Notamacropus eugenii: one gene and its partners. The protein of the gene in region 1 binds, or shares a complex with, the protein of each later gene. Links are inferred from orthologs where the notes say so. Each region holds a gene or a part of one and is shown in the gene's direction. Other genes may lie near its edges.

What was found.
Region 2: the proteins of GINS1 (region 1) and TOPBP1 are in contact, whole or in part, in a cryo-EM structure (PDB 8OK2), measured with the Homo sapiens proteins. The link is inferred for Notamacropus eugenii from reciprocal best matches to the Homo sapiens genes GINS1 and TOPBP1. Residues at the interface, in NP_066545.3 of Homo sapiens: Asn43, Gln44, Val47, Asn48, Lys51, His66, Arg91, Tyr94, Gly95, Ser96, Asn100, Arg103, Phe104, Arg119, Ala122, Met125, Glu132, Gly133, Leu134, Asp135, Thr137, Gln138, Asp139; in NP_008958.2 of Homo sapiens: Leu490, Leu491, Ser492, Gln493, Tyr494, Glu495, Asn496, Leu586, Ser587, Arg588, Thr589, Val590, Val596, Cys601, Glu602, Val603, Ala605, Thr606, Val607, Gly608, Val610, Lys629, Pro636, Val637, Pro638, Val639, Met640, Thr641, Arg726.
Region 3: GINS1 (region 1) and MCM6 share a complex: the UniProt entries of both Homo sapiens proteins name them as parts of the CMG helicase complex. The link is inferred for Notamacropus eugenii from reciprocal best matches to the Homo sapiens genes GINS1 and MCM6.

Annotation. Positions count from the first base shown.
Region 1 is NC_092872.1:602,536,638-602,543,514, forward strand, and holds the start of GINS1 (DNA replication complex GINS protein PSF1), read left to right. Parts: upstream 1-3,857; 5' UTR 3,858-4,388; coding exon 4,389-4,463; intron 4,464-6,877. UniProt on the Homo sapiens protein: Required for correct functioning of the GINS complex, a complex that plays an essential role in the initiation of DNA replication, and progression of DNA replication forks.
Region 2 is NC_092874.1:41,878,111-41,885,962, reverse strand, and holds the start of TOPBP1 (DNA topoisomerase 2-binding protein 1), read left to right. Parts: upstream 1-4,838; 5' UTR 4,839-5,051; intron 5,052-5,328; 5' UTR 5,329-5,334; coding exon 5,335-5,418; intron 5,419-5,692; coding exon 5,693-5,827; intron 5,828-6,069; coding exon 6,070-6,213; intron 6,214-7,004; coding exon 7,005-7,186; intron 7,187-7,852. UniProt on the Homo sapiens protein: Scaffold protein that acts as a key protein-protein adapter in DNA replication and DNA repair. Composed of multiple BRCT domains, which specifically recognize and bind phosphorylated proteins, bringing proteins together into functional combinations.
Region 3 is NC_092876.1:298,080,244-298,087,098, forward strand, and holds the start of MCM6 (DNA replication licensing factor MCM6), read left to right. Parts: upstream 1-3,841; 5' UTR 3,842-3,977; coding exon 3,978-4,084; intron 4,085-4,779; exon of another isoform or gene 4,780-4,794; coding exon of another isoform or gene 4,795-4,805; intron 4,806-5,641; coding exon 5,642-5,788; intron 5,789-6,855. UniProt on the Homo sapiens protein: Acts as a component of the MCM2-7 complex (MCM complex) which is the replicative helicase essential for 'once per cell cycle' DNA replication initiation and elongation in eukaryotic cells.

The DNA of each region.
Region 1 (6,877 bases):
TAATTCTTAATGTTAACCATTTGTTATTGGAATATTGGTATTGGAAACAGATCCTGTCCTATTCAAAGATAACAACACTGAGTTCCCAGGCCAGTGTTTCAGAGAGATACAAACTTTACCTCTCCTTTAGTTGATGACTACCAGTTGTTTGCTATGCATCTTCCTGCCCCTATTTCTAATTGTTTTTCTTCAGAAAGCAGTCTATTTAGAACATTAAATACAAAAACTACCTGAGGTCTACGATAGACAACTTTAAGTATCCTAGTCTATGGCCATAAACCTATGAACAAAATGTTATTCATTCATTCACCAAATGACTATTAAGCACCTACTATATAGAATGCTAAATCAAGTTTCATTCAATAATCTTTTACATTGTCCCACAAGAACTTTATTTAGAGAAGTGTGCTTTGAGATTTTTATTTTACATGATTGTATTCAAACTATCAATACTTCACCAACCTAGATATTAGAGATTTGGACTAGAAGGGACCTTAGAGATTATGTGGTTTAATTCACTCATTTTATTGCTACAGAAACTGAGACCCAGAGAGCTTAAGTGACTTACCCAAAGTCACACATGGAGTAGCAAACAGAGAAAAGAGGATGTAAAACCAGGTCCTCTGAATCCAAATCAAGGACACTTTTCACTGTACTGTACTGATTTCCTAGTGCTTCAAGCATTTAGTAAAACTATATCTAATTAATTTTCATTTATTAACTATTTTCTATAGGCCTATTATTTGAGGTGTATCTATTTGTATTAGACCTCTTGATTTCACAATGCCATAAGAACCGATGGCTACTGGGGAAAAAAAACCAAACACATGACTTGGAGTCAGAAGACTTGGGTTCAGTTCCCAGTTGTACCATTTACTGCCTCTGTAACCATGGAGTAAACATTTAACCTCTATAAGTCTCAGGTTCCTCTTTGGTAAAAATGGGAATAAAAATACTTTATTTCACGGGACTTTTGTGAGGAAAGCAGTTTAGAGCTCATAATGACTATGTAACAAAATTGTAAGTTCATAGAAGACATGGTTTTTCATCTTTCTATCCCCAGGATGTTGCTTCCTAATACTTGTTGATCAAATTTCAAAGTGTGTTTAATCTTTAAGTCATATATGATTATTAAGTCTATGTTCAATCCCAACATGTCTGATAATTCTTACCTACCTAAAATTTTTGATGATGTCACAAATTTAGTATTGTGACTATGTTTAAGAATTATTAGTGTATCATTTGACTGGTGAAAAATAAACAAATGATACATTCAATTACCTTTTCTATATTAATCATTTCAAAGTTTGTTTCCACTTGAAAATATTTTAAATAGCAAGGGGAAATGACTATTTAAAATCTACTAGAAAAATATCCAGAAACTCAATAGCTCTGACTTTTTAAATTATCATTCTAGTATTTTGAAATTTAAAAATTTACTGATAATTTTGCTAAATGTCACAAATACAAATATGTTTTAATATAGTTTTAAAAAAGCATATTATAAAATTCAAATGGTAAATTCCTTAAGGTAGTACAATGGAGATTGGAAATGCTGCAATTAAATGCAACTAAATCGCAAGAAAAAGTTATATTCTAACTCATATATACTTCTGAAAAGAAAGCAACATAATTAAAAACTCTTAGATCTCAGATCGATATCATCAAACTGGCCATTCATCTTATTATGAAGGTGGATACCTGGCAAAGGTGCTATGAGGCTAGTGGAGGCTTGTCCTTATTAGTTTTAAGGACAAGATTTTTAAGTTTTTTGCTTCCAAAATAAGTCTCTCAAACTATTAAGCCTCAAATTAAATTTATACAGTATCTATACTTGTAGCTACTGTAATTCAAAACCATAGCAACAAAGTATCCAATTGGGGCTAGCATGAGTACATTTAGTGTAATTGAATACTGTATTTCAAAACATTATTGATTTCACTGAGGTGGCTATTTAGCCCCTAATAAGGAACAGATAGAAAAGATTATAATTCCTTCATGCCTATTGCTGTGGTCCAAAACATTCATCACCTGGGTGTTGGCCCTTTGATAAGGAGCCTTCCTTCTTTGGCCTTTGGAAATGTCCATCCATTGGACAAACTTAAAACCTTTCCAGCTCAGTAGATATACCTAATAAAACCTCAATACTTAAAAAACAAAAACAAACAGTCCTGTATAGTGTGAACACAGCAGGTGCATTAAAGTAAATATGGTCTAATGGATAAAATGCTAGGCTTGAAGCTAGGAAGAACTAGGTTTAAAATCAGTCTCTAACACTAGTGGTGACACTCTGGGCTAGTCATTTAACTTCCATTTGCCATAGGCAACTCTAGGATTTTATCTACTAAGACACAGAAGAGTTCCCTAAATAACTTCAATCAACGATTCTGTTCCTAGGATACATTAAATAGGATTTTGATTCTGACTGTTTGAATGTTAAGAGGCAGAAGGGGACCTATAGATCCTTCCATTTTACAGAAAAGGAGAGTGAGGATCAAAGAAACAAAATGGCCAGGCCAGATCCTAATCCTAGTTCCAAGACTCTCTACAAATTCCCTAAACAAGAAAATTCCCAAATAACAATTATGTAAAACTTATCTTTGACGCAAGTGAATTGGTGTCTGTTGTTTAGTAATGTTCGACTCTTTTGTCACCCCACTTGAGATTTTCTTGGCAAAGATACTGGAGTCGTTTGCCATTTCCTTCTCCAACTCATTTTACAGATGAGGAAACTGAAGATTAAGTGATTTGCCCAGGGTCACACAGCTAGTGTCTGAGGCCAAATTTGAACTCAGGAAGATAAGCCTTGACTCCAAGTCCAGCACTCTATTCCGTTCCACTTAGATGCCCCAAACTGATGTCTAGCTGGAACATATTCTCTTCCATGTAACCAATAGAAGAAATAGCTCAAAGTTAGGTAATCAGTCCATTAGACTGGGCAGGAATGTTTTTGATTTTGTATATTCAATGCTTAACACAGTGCCTGGCACAAAGACCCTTAAATGCCTGATGACTTCACTTTGATTTGTAGTAAGAAGCTATGGATTTCAATGCCAACTCTCATTTGCTAGCTGTGTTGCATTGGGCAAGTCACTTCACCTAGTTGTTTCCTATGTAAAATGAACTAGATAACCTCTTAAGATTCCTTTCACCTCTAGATTCCAAGATCCCAAGGCAGGAAACAAATTCTAATCCTAGATCTGGCACTAGCAAATGGTGCATTCTAGGAAAGACAAATCACTTTCTCTCTAGGCCTCTTTTTTCTTTAATGACCAGCACAAGATACACAGCCTGGTGAAGTGGCAATATTTGGAATCAAATCCTAGGTCTACTAACCCATTCCCTGTGGAACACTGGTCATATCACTGAACTTATCTGTATGACAGCCCTCAGTTTCTTCATCTGTAAAATGAAGGAGGTTGGACTAGAACACTGTAAGATCCCTCTCAGTTCTAACATTTTTAAAATGGTTTTTTTTTTAACTGTAGGGAGAGGAGCTATTTTTAAAATATGAATATTCTTAAAAATTGATGCCTCTAGGGTAAAAAGTATTTTGCTTTAAAAAAAAAAAGCAAAAACTTGACACTTAAACTACACGTCCAACAGCTAAATATGGAAATCTTGAGATATATCTCTAAAAACTAAATGAATGAAAATGGACAAAATCATTGCCCACTAACCATACATTTATCCAAATCTGTGCATTAGGAGGTCCACTATAGTGGATGAAATGGCTGGGTCACGCCGCAGAGTGGGTCGGTCACTCATGGAACGTACGCAGCGCGGACAAACCACGCGAAGCACAACGCTCTCCGTGACGTCACAAAGAAGCGGGAGGTGGAATTCCCACGCTTTTTGTCAATGGGCCGGCCGGGCCACGTTCGACAGCCCGGGTGGGCCGGGGTTCGGGAGGAGGATACAACAAAATGGCATCAATGACTTGCCTCTCACAGGCGAGAGAGAGCGCCCGAGGGACCTAAGTCCTTCCTTCGCCTGCTTGCCTTTTCTCCGGACAAATTCGGGGGGCACGGTTCCCCGTAGTGCCGCAAACCCAGGCTGCGATGTCCCGGCGCCGGGGCGGAATCCTCGGCCTAGAAAGAGCTGCGAACGGAGACCACCACGAATAGGGGTCGAATTCTCAAACCTGAGGAATCTTGTCCTTCTCCAAAACCCGTAGGAAATCAAGGCAAGCAGGGCGGGAGCGCCGGGGCTCCACCCCCCTCTTCTTCGCTCCGATTGGCCGGCGCGGGTTTGGCGCCAAAGCCACCTGGCCGGGGTCGGAGGGAGGGAGGAACGTCCCGCGCGGCGGCGGCAGCGGCGGCGGGGGTTTGGGAGGCAGGACTCGAGTGAAAGCTGTTGTGGGACTCGCAGCCTGAGCGCGCGGAGCTATGTTCTGCGAGAAGGCCATCGAGCTCATCCGCGAGCTTCACCGCGCCCCCGACGGGCAGCTCCCAGCCTTCAACGTAAGGCCGGGTTACAGCCCTACGGGGGGGTGGGGGGGGGGGATGGCTGGGGGATGGGATTGGTGAAGGAAGGGGGCGGGGTCTAATCGAGGCGAGCGCAGGGGCGGGGCCGGATGAGGGGGAGGAGCCGGGACCGAGATGGGGTAGAATGGTGGGGCTAAAAGAGAGTAGGCTTATAAAGTGAGATGCCGACTGTTAATAGACTGGTGGAAAGGACAGGGCGGGAGGCTACGCTAGCAGTGAATTCTTGGGAGAGGTCTGGACCTGGGGTAGGGCTAGAGATTGGGGGAGTGTGAAAGTGGGAGCTGGGCTTGTGGCTTGGTCAAAAAGGATTTGAAAGGGAGGGGAGGGCAGGAGGAGGGATGGAACAGTGGGTCTGGATCAGGAAAAGGAAAAGGAGAAAGGAGAGGATGGAAGACAGAATGAGAGTGCAAGGGAAGGGCAATACCTCGAGGAACAGGTGTTAAGGGGATGGGCTAAAAATAATGGAATGGGTGCAAGAGTGGCCAAATAAATGAAGAGCTGTGGCAAGTATAGATCCGTTGTGTCTAGACCTCTAATTGTATCCCTACGGCGGTATCAGTCCTTAAGATTTCCTTTTTTTTTTTGACTAATTATTTCAGGAAGCACTAGCAAAAGACACCTCTTTTTAAAAAAAATATATTGTGACTATCTGAAGTTTAATGAACTAGTCAGAAAATCCAGGTTCTTGTCCAGGCTCTGACTTCTGTTTCCGTGTCTTTATTAGCAAAAGAAGGATGTGTACCTGAAAAGATAGACAGATGAAGATATAGGTATGGAATCCTAGGGGTCTTCATAAAGAAATGAACAATGAATTGGACTTTAAAGGATGGATTGGAGCCTTGGATAATCCTGAAAGCTCCGTGAAAACTGACAACCTATGATATGACTCTTTGAGTCTTAGTTTAGTGGTTTATTTTTTGATTAGGAGACTGAGAGGTGGGGCAGGGAGTAGAGTTCTGATTTACCCATGCAATTTATTCTCAGAAGCCCTAATAGGCCTCTAGTCTTAGAGATAACCCACCAAGCAACATATATAGATGTGATTTGACCTATGAAAAAGTTATGGGGAAAAGAGTAATCACCTATGGTTAGCTTTGTACTTTATCATTTGCTTTTTTTCCTCCCTCTATCTCATCTATCTACTGAGTTCTTTAGAGATGTTTTCTTCCATCACCATCATCACTACAACTCTAAGTCACAGTACATAGATAGTGCTCCTTGAGTTCCCACTCTACTAAAGGAGGATAATGCTCCGAGAAGATAGAAATGTGGTCTTAAGTGCTGAATGTTTTCTATCTAAAACAGACTATATAATAGATCTTTATAAGCTACCAATAAAACTTGGAATGAGATTATATTTAAAGTTTTTTTTAATGAATTTAATAGTTTTGAATTTAGTACTAAATTTGGTATTTGTGAATTTAATAATTTTGTCCACTTGGGGAATTTCTCATTTGGAAACTCCCACCTCAGATGCCAATCGCAGCTTTGTAACTAGTACACTTAGAAATTTGCCTGGGGGAAGTGACTGAGTTAATGACCTGTGTGAGGTCTCATGACTTGAATCAGGTCTTACTGACCTACCATGTCATCCCACCTCTCATTTAGGTATGTTATATGGTACTGTAAAGGTAAATTCAATAGAAACTTAATAGTAGAAAGTGCATACTATGTGTAGAACACTGCATTGTACATACTGTGGGATGAAGTTTAGATAAGACATAATCCAGACCCTTATGAAATTTACAGTCCTGTTGAGGGAATAAGACACACATAGATAACATTTTAAGTATGCTAGAGAAGTAGAGAACATTGCTATATGTTGTTCAGTGAGGGGATTGGGAAATGCTTCACAGAGAAGATGGCACTGAGTTGAATTTGGAGTTTAGCAGGTGAAAAGGGGAACACTTTCTAGTTCCTAGAGCAGTATGAATGCAGTAAAGTATATAGTATGTTTGAGGTACATAGTCTGACTAAAGCATATTCATTATTCTCCCTCAAATACTGTGCAATCTGGCCATGCTGGCCTACTTGTTTCAGGGTGCACATAAACTCTCTGTTTCATCTCTGGGCCTTTGTACTAGCTGTGACTCCTGCCTACAGTTCACTCCTTCTTCACCTCCACCTCTTAGAATCTTTGGTATCCTTCAAGACTCAGCTGAAGGACCATCTTCTAAATGAAACTTTTCCTGATCCTCTGGCTGCTAGTATATTTTCTCCTGAAACAACTTTGTATTCATTTTTCATATATTTTGTATATGCTTCTATGCACATGTGGCTTCCCCACAGAAATGTAAACTGCTTGAGCTCAAGGAATGTTTCACTCTTCATGTATCCCTGGTGCTTATTACTTGGATGCTGATAGTGGGTGCTTAGTAAATGCTTGTACG
Region 2 (7,852 bases), on another chromosome or scaffold:
ATTTGTTATGTTAGGTATGTTCAATTGTGCAAAACATAATTACCATATTAGTTATGGTGTCAAAGAAGACACAGAACCAAAGTGGAGAAAAAAATTCACAAAAAATACAGAAAGTGAAAGACAGTATGCTTCAATCTGCATTCATACTGCATCTTTTTTTTCCTCTGGAAGTGAACAGCATTTTTCATCATGAGTTGCTTTGAAGTGTTTTGTATTGCTGAGAATAGCTAAGTCATTCATAGTTGATCATCCTATAGTATTGCTGTTACTGTGTACAACATTCTCCTAGTTCTGGTTACTTCACTTTGCATCATTTCATGTAAGTCTTTCCAGGTTTTTCTGAAATCTTTCTATTCAAATGATAACATTCTTAGAGTACCAGTTAATGTTTTCCTATATAAAAGGTAAAGATTTTGACCTTATTAAGTCCCTTAGAATTGGTCTTTAATGTTTACCTTCTTATCTTTCTCCTGAATCTAGTAGGTTACATTTTCTATTTAGTTCTGATCTTTTCTTCACAAATACCTGAAAGCCCTTGTGTTCATTAAATGTCTATTATTTTTTCCATTCAGGATAACACAGCTTTGCTGGTAAGTTATTCTTGGTTGTAAGCCCAGCTCCTCTGCTCTTCAGAATATATTGCTCCATTACCTTCAGTCATTTAGAAGTTGCTGCTAAGTCTTGTGTTATCCTGACTGTAGCTCCACAATATTTAGCTTTTTTCCTAGTTGTTTGTAGTATTTTCTTCTTGACCTGGGAGTTTTATAACTTAACTGATATTCCTATGAGTTTTCATCTTGGGATCTTTCCAGTGATGATTGGTGGAATTTTTGTTTCTATTTTACCCTCTCATTTTAAAACTTCAGGGCAATTTTCCTTAGCCTCTTAAGGTATAGTATCTAGATTCATTTCTGATCATAAATTTCAGACAGTACAATAATTTTATATTACCTCTCTTTGATCTGTTCTCTAGGTCAGTTGTTTTTCAAATGAGATGTTTTACATTCTCTTCTATTTTTTCATTCTTTTGATTTTATTATTTCTTGGTGTCTTATGAAGTCATTAGCTTCCCCTTGCCCAATTATAATTTTTAAGGAGTTATTTTCTTCTGTAAAGTTTTGGATCTCTTTTTCCAATTGATTGAATTTCTTTTCATACTTTTCTTGCATTACTCTTATTTTTTCCCTAATTTTTCCTCAACTTCTTATTTGACTTTTAAAATCCTTTTTAAGCTCTTTCAAAAATGTTTTTTGGCTTGTGACCATTTTGCTTTTTTCTTTGAAATAGAAGTAGCTGTTCTAACTTCACTATCTTCTTCTGAATTTGAAACTAGACATTCTCTATCACCATAACAGCTATGTATGGTTGGGTTCTTTCTCTTTCACTGTGTGGGATGGCTCAGGTCCCTACATAAATCAATTACTCAGAGGCCTCTCAAAGTGATGACAGAAAAGTGATTTATTCGATTCTGGAGAAGCGGGGCTCACCTGTAGGAGTAGGAAAGCCCAAGACAAAGAACAGGACAGTGATTTATATAGACCCTAACGCAAGTCCCTCCTCCCCCCACTGACCATTATCCTCATTAGCTGAGAATATGGTCTTACATTCTAGACACGAAATCTAACCAATCCCTTTTGAAATGAAGACATTGAGGAATTATGTAAGTTTTGTCCAATCATTGAGACCCTAATACACTACACAGCTTTATATCCTTATATGGAACTATTCTATTCTAAAAATATTGTAACCTTGAGCCTTTAGGCCTTACCTCACCCCTGGGAGAAAAATTACAGTCTGAGGAGTCTGTCTCACTCATTCACTTACACATTATTTTATATTTGTTAGTGGCTTATTTCTTGCTGTTAATTTTGTGTTAAAACTGGGTTCTAGTCCCAAGGTGTACGGGATAATATCTCAGGCTTCAGGGTTTTTGTGTTTTTTTCTGAGCTCTATCCAGGGCCCTAACTTCAGGTATTCCTCTCAGCCCCTGAGCCACAATCAGGTGCCCCTGAAATCCCTGTGGTTCCTCTTGCAGCTCAGCTTCAGCTCACCCCTCTGCACTGAAACCGAAATCAGGGATTCCATTAAGTGCCCACAGCCAACTGGGCCCTTGCCCTCTGTGACCACACTCACCCAGAATGTACTCATTCTTCCTCACCCCACAGTCACAGCCCTAAAATGTATCAGATCAGTGCACCTGTGCCTGGCATCCAGAACCAGCAGAGGGCCCTGAAATCTTCCCTGGGCCCAACGCCCAATCCCAACTACAGTCTGTGGGGTGAAAGCTCCTGAAGCTGAGGATGACTACCAGAACACAGTTGCCCCCACAGCTGGTTGTTTGTTGATTCAGCAATACTTGCCTGGAGGCATCTGCACTACAAAGAGGTCAAAGACCCCAGGACATGGGGTATTTCCTCACAGTCCTCAGAAGTTGTCTTAGGTAGATAACTGCTTTACCTGGCTTTAAATTATTTCTGCCACTCAAAAGTTCACTCTGATGCACTATTTTATATTGTTTGTAGAGAGATTTAGAAGAGCCAGGTAATTTGCTGTTATTCTGCCATCCTCCTAGAATCCCCCTTTTTGGTTTTTAAAATAAATTTTGAGCTCCTTAACATTTGCTTCAATTCTTCTAGGAATTTTGACATGTAGCCCACCTGCATTTTCTTTTAAGGCTTTGCTTTTAAATGTTCTGGAGTCATTCTCTCCTGTGTTTGTATCTCAAGTTTACCCGTCACCATAATTGGACTTTTTTTTATTTGTTTGCTCATTCTTCCAGCCTACTTCTTTACTCTAGACCTTATATTAGTGTTGAACTCTGCATACTTGTGGGGAAAGCATGAATTTCTGTTCTCTTACATCCTTCTGCTGATTTCACAGTTCCAGCTGGGGGCCTACAAGTTTGCAATGCCCCCATAGTGGTGTGATCCAGGGGTTGATCTGTTCACTGCCCTCTGTATCTAAGCTCTGCAAAGTCCTGACTCAGGTTTGTGGTTTACTGTCTTGTTTTTGGTTGAGATCTTCAGTAGCCTTTCACTTAACTCAGGCACTACTGGCCTGCTGGGAAGCTCTGAGGTTCAGAGAAACTAGAGCCCATGCTCACAACTGTTTCTCTCTACCCTACATCTGTGACCCTGAACTGGGTAGAGAATGACAGTTCAACCAGTGTTTGTTAAGGGATCTGCTGGCATCTTTTTTGCTCCAGTGCTTCCTGCCCCAGTGCCCTGTGTTACCCTCTTTCAGTCCCTACCTGTTGGAATGCTCCTTTATGCATGCTTATGGCAGACTTTGTCCTCAGTATTCAGAAATCTGTATCCCAGAGCTACTTTGGACTAGAAAAATGACTGAGTATGACTTTCTTTGCTTTCTTGATCAGAATCAGGTGTGGTGAGTATTTTAGATCTTTGTCAAGGAAGTGTGGTGGGCAAGCTATACTCTAAAGCTTGCTCTCAACTATATTACTGATAATAATAGCATTCATATAGTGCTTTACATATGTTACATGTAGTTACATCAGATCCACAACAACCCTTGTTAAGTAGATCCTCTTGTTTTCTTCCCCCTTTTACAGAGGAGGAAATTTGGGTACACAGAGGTTAAGTGACTTGCAACCCAATGTCTCAGGCAAGGCTGTAATTCATCTTCTTGATTCCAAGTCCTGTGCTCTATCCCCTGTACCACTCAGCTAAAACCCAGGGCACACCTCTTTAAATTTTAAGTCCTGGCCCCCCACTCTACTGTAGGTTTCCTTCATTGTAAATCTTCAGCTTTCTTTTTATCTGGCTCCAGCATGACCGTTTAATTTTACAAGGAAAATCTGCTGGAGTTTTTCTTAGAGTATGGAATTAGCTGAGACTGAATAATTTAATTCAAGACAATTCACTGGGTAGAGATAAAAAGATTTTCTGGCTCAGTTTTAAGATCATCGTTGCTACTTGTAACTTCCAAACCAGTCTCAGTACTTGCTGAATGATTTACAACTCGAATTGAAGTCACTCTCCTTTTGTCATCTTTTGCCATACAATCCTCCTTCCTCTTCTTACAGTATCTTTGGTTAAATATCTTACACTAGCTCTGTGTAAAGCTTGCGTAGTTAGAAATGATACATCTTTCTTTCCCTTTCCAGCATCTGTAAATTCTAACTGCTTCTTTTTTCTTGGATGCAACTAGAACCTCTGCAAGTCTAAAGAAGTTTCACCTGGCCGTGGAGAGTCATGGAGGGCCCTCGGAGCCGGGCCCGTCACAAGTCTGGTTTACGGCCTGCATCTGCACGCTGCTGCTCTGGGGTACTTTCCTATCATTTCCAGGCCTCTCCCCACATGCTGCTGGATTCCGAGTAGGTATGCACCCCTTCAGCTCCTACTCACACATATTAACGGGTGCCCCCTAGGGCGCACGGTTCCGGGTTCCACTTATTAGCGGGGGCCCGGGAGTCCGGGGGCCCGAGGGCAGGAGGGAGGAGCTCCCGGAAGCAGGCGCCGCCTCTGCTCCGGCCGAGCTCCAGGCCCGGTCTTTGGTCCACAGGGAGAGCGGCCCAGAGGGGAAAGTCGCCGGGGGTGGCTCCGGATCCCTGGACGGCGTCTCTGCAAAGCCCTCCGCGGCCCTTCCAGACTCGGTGACTACCATGGCTGCTTCCTACACTCCGGGCTAGGCCAGGGTCCGGAGTAGAAGCCCAAGGTGGAAGAGGAACCCAAGAAAGAGGCCAAGGCCGGATCCTTTCCCCTTCCCGGAAGCTGTCAATCGCATCGCTTCCGCCCGGTGCGGAAGGCTACGGATGGACAACTAGATCCAGCCGCGACAGGAAGTGTCTCCTCCCCTTCCGCACGGCCCCGCGGCGTCACTTCCGCCCCGTGGCGGAAGGGGAAGCCCTCGGGTTGGCGCGAAACTTGGTGGTGCGGCTCCGAGCCCGCTCGACCCCCTCCCCCTCCCCTCCCCCCCTCCCGCCCCCGGCGCGCGCTCGGCCTTTCCTCACGCCGCGTCGGCCGCCTCACTCCCGACGCTCGCCCCGGACTGCAGCCGCCGCCGCCTCAGAACGTCGGAGCCCCGGGGCGGTGAGTGAGGGCGACGGGCGGCGTTGGGGGCGACCGTTGTGTGGCCGCCCCGGGCCGCGGCGGCGGGGGGGGGGGGAAGGGGGGGGGTCCTGTCAGCCGGGCAGCCGAGCCGGGTTCGAGGCCGAATGCCCTGAGGCGCCTGCGGGGCCCGCGCTGCGGGTCGGGGGCCGGGGCGGCCCCGCCCCCTCCCCTCCGGAGCTCCGGGCCCGCCCTCGGGCCTGCTGCCGCTCGGCCTCCGGGCCCGCGGCCCCGTGCTGACGGCGCCTTCTGGTCTTAGGTCGACATGTCGGAAAGTGACCGAGAGCCGTACTACGTGAAGTTTGTGAAGGCGCCCGGGAACTCGGAGGGTTTCTTTACCGCGCTTGGGGTGAGTGGATGGGCCGTGGGGGGGCGGGCGGACCCCAACGTCTCCGCCGCGTAGAAGCGGGTTTGTGAGCGGCGCGGGCCCCGGCCCCGGCTCCGGCTCCGGCTCCGGCTCGGCCCGGTTCGGCTCCGGCTCGGCCCGGCCCGGCTCGGCCCGGCTCCGTGCTCCTGGGCAGCATTTCTGGTCCGCTGCCGAAACGTTCCCGAAGCGCAGCGCGGCCTGCTTGGGGCCTTCCTCTGAATGATTGACGTGCGCTCTCGCTTCGCCTTTCAAACAGTCTATGAAGGAATTCCAGTCGGAAGAGTATCTCCAGACCGTGGCCGAGGAGGAGGCCTTGAGCGTGACGGAGAAGGACCGATCGCTGTACATCTGCGACCCCTTCAGCGGCGCCGTGTTCGAGCACCTCAAAAAGGTGCGTTAAGTGACCGCGTCTGGGTGTGATGCACGAGGAAACGGGAGGGCCGCGGGATCCCCGGGAATGACAGATCTGCGGTGTGTCCTAGTGCATGGATGCTCACGCTGCTGGAAGAACTGGCCTTGGAGAAATAGGCACGAAGGCTGGTGAAGTGGTTGGCAGAAGGGAAGACAAGTGAAGGAAAATCGTCTTTGTTTCGCTACTCAAACAACATAAACCTTGTGTTTTCTGTTCTGTAGCTTGGCTGTAGAATTGTCGGCCCACAAGTAGTCATATTTTGTATGCAGCACCAACGATGTGTTCCAAAAGCAGAGTATCCAGTCTATAATATGATTATGGCAGACGTAACTATTTCTTGTACAAGCCTTGACAAAGAAACAAGGGTAAGATGTTTTAGTAGGATGATAACATCGATATGTATGTTTTATATGAATTTTTTTTGTTGGTTAAGCTGTACTGTGAAATGTTTCGAATTTTATTTCACATGAGAGCAGATGTTTTCCTTTGGCTATTTTGTGTGACACAGTTAACAGATATAGTAGAGGGTTAGGACCTAGCAGTATAAGAGGTGATCTTCAAATTGAGTTGTACCTAGCACAAGTCATCCTAACCAATGATGTTTCATAATAATGTTATAAATGCAATATAACCAAAGCCCTACATATTAATATCATGCAGACAATTTGTAACCTCAGCTGCTCTAGCCACAGGACTGCAGTTTCATGCTCCATAATTTCTGATACCTGCTTCATCCTTCTTCAGATCATAGATGCCCTGGTCTTGTCCCAGTCACTGTAACAAAATGACTATGAGTCCTCATTCCAGAACATTGTTTCTCTCCTTGTTATGTTGTTCTAAGTGCTCTCTATAAAGTTGGTTAGCGTTAGGGTTTTAAATGAAAAAAAAAACAACTTAGTGAATTGTGCTTTTAGTGTCTTTCAGTAGAGCCATTAACCATTTGAAGATCTTCGTATTTCTTTGTAAATTGTTCATCTTAATTGTTGCATCATTGTGCATTTATATATTCATATATAAATAAATCATAAACATAGCACAGCTGTAGTGATTAAATGAATATGAATTTGTTGTGGACATAATGTAGTGAATGCTTTAGAAAACGGGTAACAATGATTATAGATTAACATATTTCTTACCTCTTCCTTTTTCACTCCAGAAAGAAGTTCATAAATATGTACAAATGATGGGCGGACGAGTTTGCAGAGACTTAAGTATATCAGTAACTCATCTTATTGCTGGTGAAGTCGGCAGCAAAAAATATTTAGTGGCTGCAAATCTAGGGAAACCTATTATGCTTCCTTCTTGGGTAAAAGAGCTATGGAAGCAGTCACAAGAGAAGTAAGTTGTTTATTATGACTTAAAAGTTATGTGTAAGATCATGTAAGCCAATCTCATGGGTCCCCTGAAGAAAGTTTTGCAAGTGTCTTCTCTCCTTAATCACTCAGTGACCTAAACAGATTCAGCACCATTCTCTTTCCCAAACCCAGAAGGGTGAAAGTTTCTTAGGCACAGAATGATAATGAGTGCCCGTGGTAGGCAGTGTGATGTGGAAAGAGTATTGGGTTTGGGATCAGAGCACCTCTGGTAGTGGAAATGTGCCTTGAGTGTTGGGCTCCTCAGTTCACCCCTCTGGAAATTCCATTTCCTCATCTGTAAAATGAAGTTGTAACAGATGAGTTGTGAGGTCCCTACCACCTCCCCATTTAGTTTCCTAGAATTAGTTTGTCCCCAGAATTGCCCACATGTACATCAGATTCGAAGAGAAAGTAGACTTGTGTTAAGCATAAATTGCCATTCAGAATTAGCCATAGTGTTCCTAATAGAATAATTGTTTGCAAAGTAGCAATCAAATGGGAGGTGCTTGAGGGTAATTTCAAGCTTTTAAGTTGAAGCCTATGACTTAAAACTTTGGATAAAAACTCTTGTGTTGAGGTTTGGAATTTTTGAATCTGTTTAGAGATAGGCTGTAGAGCATAACAGTCATTTTTTTTTTCCTAAGAAAAT
Region 3 (6,855 bases), on another chromosome or scaffold:
ACTAATGAAGAATAAATATCTGACAATGAAATAAGTAAATAGAGAGCTATATTGTTGTCTTGCTCATCAAAGATCACTTATTCAAGCTCCTGGCTACCCAAAATGTGTGTCAGACTCTGAAGAGAATTAAATAGACCTGGTCTCTGATCTATGGAAGTTGACAGTTTACACATAGCAGAATGATGTCATGGGAAGAGCCAGTAGAACTGAGTTTCAGCACTAGGGCCTTCCACTTAATAACTGGGTGACTTAATTTCTTGGAGGTTATTTACATTTGGATTTGTTCATTTTCTATTTATGCTACATATATTTAATAGGTAATTGTCTCCCCTGTTAGAGTATAGAGGTAGGTAGAGTGTGCAGTGGATAGAGCGCTGGGCTTGAAGTCAAGAAGACCTAAGTCCAAAGCCTGTTTTGGACACTTAGTAGATGTACAACCCTGGACAAGTCACTCAACCTCTGTCTGCCTCAGTTTCCTCACTTCATCTATCAAATGGGGATAATAATAGTACCTGCCTCCTAGGGTTGTTGTGAGGATAAAATGAGACAATAGTTATAAAGTGCTGTGCAAACCTTAAAGGGCTATATAAATTATATTTGTTGTTATTAATATAATCTCATTTCAAATGGGTTTTATCCTTTCAGCCCTAGCACATAGAATAAATTTGATAAATTTAATTTGATAAATTTGATAAATTAATATTGATTGATTGTTGGTTGATAGATCGGAGGTGATAAGGGCCTGAATTAGGATGATGAGAGATGTGAATGCAGAAATTATAAAATTTGACAATAGATTGAACAAGTGGGATTAGTAAGTGTATTGAGCTGCAAGAGGAAGGAAAAGGCTATAAGCAGAAATCTGACAGAAGTTTTCTGATAAAAAAAAAAAATGTGTGTGCAGACAATGTAATGACCAGTCATGACTTTAAAAGACTTCTTGGCAGAGAGTTGATGGACTATACCTGTGGAGTAAGACATAAATTTCCAGACTTGGCCATTGTTTTGATGCATTACAAGGAAGGGTTTCTATTTGAAGAGAGCTGGCCAGTAGGGACAGTGATTTGGGAGGGGAAAGTACAAAGATGGATCGATGAAACACTACCAAATACACAGAGGATACAAAGTTAAACTTTACAAAGTAGATGGTCGAAAGGGGCAAAGATAGAAACAAAGAAACTTAAAGATTAGGTCCTTTCAGCTCCCAAGGACAGAATTCCACACCTTGGAAGGGATTTAGTCTTGTCTTTCAGTAGCTAAATAGTATAGAAAACACCCACAGAATCAGCCCCTGGGCAAAAACTGTCTTAATATCTTTGATCCCAGACCCTCATTCTACATAAGATCCAACAGTGATCTGGGAAATGTAACTGGATGGGCTCTATAAATTACATTGGGTCTGAACCAGTGAGAATTCTCTGAATAGAGGGAAGTTTCATCTCAATCAACTCCTACCTGTGAAGCAACAAAGTTTACTGTTTATTGACTCCTCAGTTTATTGACTGACTAGTCAACAAACATTTAAGCACTTACTGCAAGCCAGACATTGTGTTAAGTGCATAGGACAGCCCTCAAGGAGCTCAACATCTAATGGAGAAAGCCAACGCATAAAAAGAAGCTGTAGCGTGAGGGTGTGGGGCGAGTGAAGATTTTGGGGCAGGAGAAATGCAAAATCCTGTAGAGTGTAAAAGATGAAGAGATGAATGTCCTGGGTGGAGGATCTGGGAGGAGCTCACCACTGCCCACTCTCTTCAGTCAGAGAGAAGAAGAGGTCCAGAGGCTGGAGGAGTATTGAGGAGGTGAGTACCAAATCTCCACGCAGAGGCCCAGGGAAAGCAGAATGAGAGACTTGCCTTTGGAACTCTCATGTTGTGATACGTAACCATATTGCTTCACAGTGCTGGGCCTCAGTTATAATGATGAGCGAAGTTCAGACCAAGTCTCTCTGCCCTTTCTGAAAGAGCTATGTAATACGCCAGTTGAAAAGAGCACAGTAGTACCCAGCCAAACTTGAGACTGAAAGGGGTGGATTGTGGTGCCCATCCAAGAGGAAGCAAAGGAGTGGAGAAGATTCATCATCTTCAAACCTAAGTAACCTGCCTGGCTCCACCCAGCAGCACCTAAACCCATCCAGGAAAGACACTATATTTTTAAAGGACCAAGGTGAGATAGCATGAAGAAGTAGCCAGGTCTAGCAGCAGAGTGGCCTATGTTATCCTGCACCAATGCCCCTTCCCACCCTGAACATCATGTTCCAGAGTCATGAGTTGCCTGGATTTCATGTGTTGCCTTTACATGTGTCCCACTACCATTATACTCCAAGCTTGTTCCCACCTCTTTCCACCACCACTCCTGGATTCTGTGTATACTTATATAAGAGTATGTCTCCGGTAAAGGGGGAAAAGTACCTTTTCTAAGATCTAATGGAGATACTAGCCGATTGTTAATGGAAAGCACACTAGTTGGGGGATCAAGAACTTCAGTGTTAGTTACCCCTAGAGTAATTCCTAGAACTCAAGGTAGAATTCACCACTCTGGGGCCTCAACTTGCCAGTGCAAGTGCAAGTTATGAATGTGATCTCACAGGGGATGCTACTATACCCAGAAGAAAGAAGAAGGATATTGGGAAGTGGCACAGGGCAGTTTTGTTACTATGATGTTAAATTTAACATACACTCTTTTAAAAAGCAGGAGAAAGGGACAAGAAGGGAAGGATAAAAGTAGGAAAGTCATTCAGACATGATGTACTTCAGGCCATGGGCAGGAAGAACTATGAGAGTCAATGATGTTCAGTTGGAGAGGCCAGCCTTGGACTTGGCATAACCTGGTTTTGCCAAACTTTCTGCTTCTCCCCCTCCTCAATATGTAGAATCCTACATACCAGGGTAAGCATGGATTTCATAGGGAAGACATGGGTTCTTGTTCAAAAATGTCTTATTGGTTTCCTATCTTGAAGTCACAGGCATCGCGATGCAAGGCACAGGCTACCTATGCTATGAGAGGCCCCAGTTATACAAGGATGAAGGATGGACACTTCTAGAAAAGAGCGGGAAGGAGCAGAGGCAGACTACTGCCAGTAAGCCCTTTGCATCTGAGATAAGCCACCAAAACCACAGAAGACTACACCCACTCAAGTTGAAAAAAAGAAGTCGATAACAAGTATAGTTAATCAAAACCAAACACCGCTTGGCCAGTTCCAAAAACATATATCTCATTCTGCATCTTGGACTAGCACCTCTCCGTACTCAGGTGGCTAGCATGCTTTGCTATTGGTATTCTGGAATCATGGTTGCTGATTTCATTGTCTCTTTCTTCCCAGAAGCTCCATTTAAAGAGGGTGCCCAGGCCAACCATCTCTTCATTTCTCAAGAAGCTGCAATCTGGACTCCTCCATGATGCTTCCAGACCTGGTACCTTTCACACACATACGCTGAATCTTGTTCGGCGGCAGAATAATAACTTGAGTCTGTTAGAGGCATTTTAGGGGCGCCGCTCCCGACAGTCCCAGGTTCAAATCCACCCCAAGGCTGCAAGCTCCGGCAAGCTTCTTCAGCTCCTGGGGCCTCGGTTTCCTTATGTGTGAAATGAGGGGGATGACCTGGATAGGTTCCTTCCAGGTTTAGAATTATGATCAATCAGTAAACATATGTAAAACTTCCACACTCGGCAAAGAACCCAGGCAGAGGCACCGGGTAAACTCCCAGAAAGTTTGGAGCCCCGGGGGCGTAGGGGAGAAGAGGCCCCGCCCACAAGCATTTGGCGCGAAAAGCTTCGCCGAGTGGGCGGGGCTCTGAAGGAAACAACTCCTCATTGGCTAGGTTTGGCGCGAAAATCCGGGCCTGCGGGCCAGCGATTGGCTGAGACAGTCTCGTCCGGAGAGCCGGCAGGGAAGACGCCTTTTCTCTCCCGGCCGGGCGAAATTGCGCTTGGCTGATTTGGGGAGGCTCGAGCACCGGCGACCTAGACTGACCGCGGCCATGGACCTAGTGGCAGCTGCGGAGACGGGGGCGGGGACCCCGCACGTGGAGGTCCGCGATGAGGTGGCGGAGAAGTGCCAGAAGCTGTTCCTGGATTTCCTGGAAGAGTGAGTGGGGGGCCTGGCGGAGGGGGAGGGGACTCCCACTGCCTTCGTAACCCGTGCTTGTGGTCCGGGCCCTCCGCCCCGCGGCCCGCGGCCTGGGGTCCGGATCCCCCCGCCCCGCCCCAGGGGGGGCACGCAGGCTGTCGCATCCCCCCTAGCCCATTTTGCTCCGTTACCCTTCCGCTCGTACCCCGAGCCCCTCCCCCGGCAGTGGTTGGGACACTCGGTACCTTGAGGTAAAGCCCCTCGTCCCCGGGCCGGCCCCGTGACCCCAAGACTCCTGGGTCTCTCCCGGTGCCCATCCCCCGCGCACTGTCCTGCCCTCGCTCCTGCCGGGGCACACCACGTTAAGAGCCGAATGTCGGCCGGGCTTGCCCGGGTGGGGAAGACTAGTTCCAGAAGAGGTTTCCGGAGTTTTATGTGGGTTTTTTTGCGTGTCGTGTTCCCCGCGGCCGCTAGGTGGCGCCGTGGGACCGAGTCCAAGTCCTGCCTAGGACTGCCTAGGCCGGCCTCGCGGTCTGGTGGGGCTGGTAACAGTATCCAGCCCTGCGTGCGGAGAGGAGCGGCGGTGAGGGCTGTGAGGGGCGGTCCGCGAGGCCAGGGCCCAGCGCTTGACCTTTCTTTGTCAGCCCCGGTCCCCCGGAGCGTGACTGCAGGGCGGGGACTTGGAAGTACGGACCAGGGCCTCCTCCCACTGTGCTGGCCTGGGGCTAATGACCTGGAGGTACTTTGCGCCCAGCCTTGGCGGGGTGATCTTCTCTGACAGTTGTATCATGTTTTGTCCCTGATGCTCTCATCCCAGGCCTGGAGGTTGCATCTTTGTATCTTCTTCTCTGCAACAAAGAGCCCTGGGCTTGAAGTGGGAGCATTGACGTTCTAAAATGGAAATGATACATTGAAACCTGTGAAAGCCATTTGTAAACTATGAAGCACCCACACTTACGTGTTGCTATTGGGTCAACAGAACCCGTATGTTCAGTACAAGTGATTACTCCCTCCATTATTCAATCCAATGTATTCTGTTTTGTAGAACAGAGAGCAAAAATACATAAATAAAAAAATAACCGTAAATTCTTGTAACCTTTCTGCTTTGTCTTATAAGGCTGGAAAAATTTTTATTCATCTTTGTGTATGTAGGCATCTTGTGAATCTCCCGTTTCCCTTCCCTGCTAAAAGTTGTCAAGGATGCTTTTGATAGTGAATATGTTTATTTCTACCTTGGTTCTAGGACCAGCATTTAAAATATCCTTTATATTTGTGAAAATCAGCTTAGGTAAGCCCCCTTGAGTTTCTGGGTCTTTCCCCTGATCTTAAGAAGTCTTCCATCTTCGTATAATAATATCTGGTACTCCAATTTTTTTTCTCTCCCCTAGCCATTTGGCTTCTGAGCTTCACCTTCTTCCTCCTTAAAATGGGAATAATAATGCTCACGCTACTTAATTTCCAGGACTTGTGAAGAAGGCAATTTTTAGACTTTAGGACACTACACACGTGTGCACCATATGTGTGTGTATCTATGCCCACCTATTTAATTTGATCTGGTCTTGATGTTTCTTACAGATTCCAGAGCAGTGATGGAGAAGTAAAATACTTGCAGCTGGCAGAAGAGTTGATTCGTCCTGAGAGAAACACATTAGTTGTCAGTTTTTTGGACCTGGAGGAATTTAATCAGCAGCTTTCCACCACTATTCAAGAGGAGTTCTACAGGTATGATGTCTTATTAAAAAAAAAAAACCAAAACAGTTTGATTGAGGACAGAAGCCAGAAAAACAGCTGGTTTCTTAGACTTATGGACCTATAAAATGTCAGAGCCAGATGGGGCCTTTGAAGTCAGTCCAAACTCTTCACTTTACAGAGAGGTCTTGGTCAGAAGGTATTCTATTAGTAAGTCACTTATCACTGGAGACATACTTTTCATGAGCTACTAAAAAGTAGGAAGCCCCTAAGAGTAATGCACTGATGCAAACATATCTCACACCCATGTGCCCATGAGTTTTGTCATACTTAGAATCACTCTGTGGTCTACCGAAGTTCCTGTCTTGTTTACAGTTGTTCAAATTTTATATCAGAGAGTTTGTTTCATTTTAGGTATTGAACAGTAACGTAGTATTTACTTTGTCCCCTCACAAAGGTCCCTAGAGGAAAAGAACTGTATATGGGATAGTGTGTGTGTGTGTGTGTGTGTGTGTGTGTGTGTGTGTGTGTGTTCGTGTTCGTGTTCGTGTTCTAAGGGGCCCTCAGGATTTCTTTTCTGTCTACAGAATAAATCAGTTTAAAATGAACATCCAGGGCAACCTTGAAGGAGAAAAGAAGTCACAAAAGGGAAGTGAGTGGGGGTAAAGTCCCCTGCTATTAGTAATGGGGAAGCAACCTTCCCAACACCTAGGCAGCTAGGAGGTACAATGGATAATGTTGGACTTGGGAGTTAGGAACGCGTTAGCTCGGATCATGCCTCAGAGCTTTGCTGGCTATGTGGCCCTGGGCAAATCCTTTAACCTCTAAGCCTCTGTTTCTTTATCTGTAAAATGGGGATAATAATAGCATCTAGCTGTGAGGAAGTCAGGAGGCCTGAGATGAGGAAGGAGAGCCTTCATTCCACTACAAACACAGACTAATAATGGCTAACCCATACATAGCATCTACTGTGTGTCAGGTATTCTGCTGAGTGCCTTACAGTTATATCATTTGCAAAACTTGAAAGTATTATAAGAATCCTAGCTAAATGGTTCTAACCTGGGCTCCATGAACTTTTTTTCCTTAATATTTTGATAACT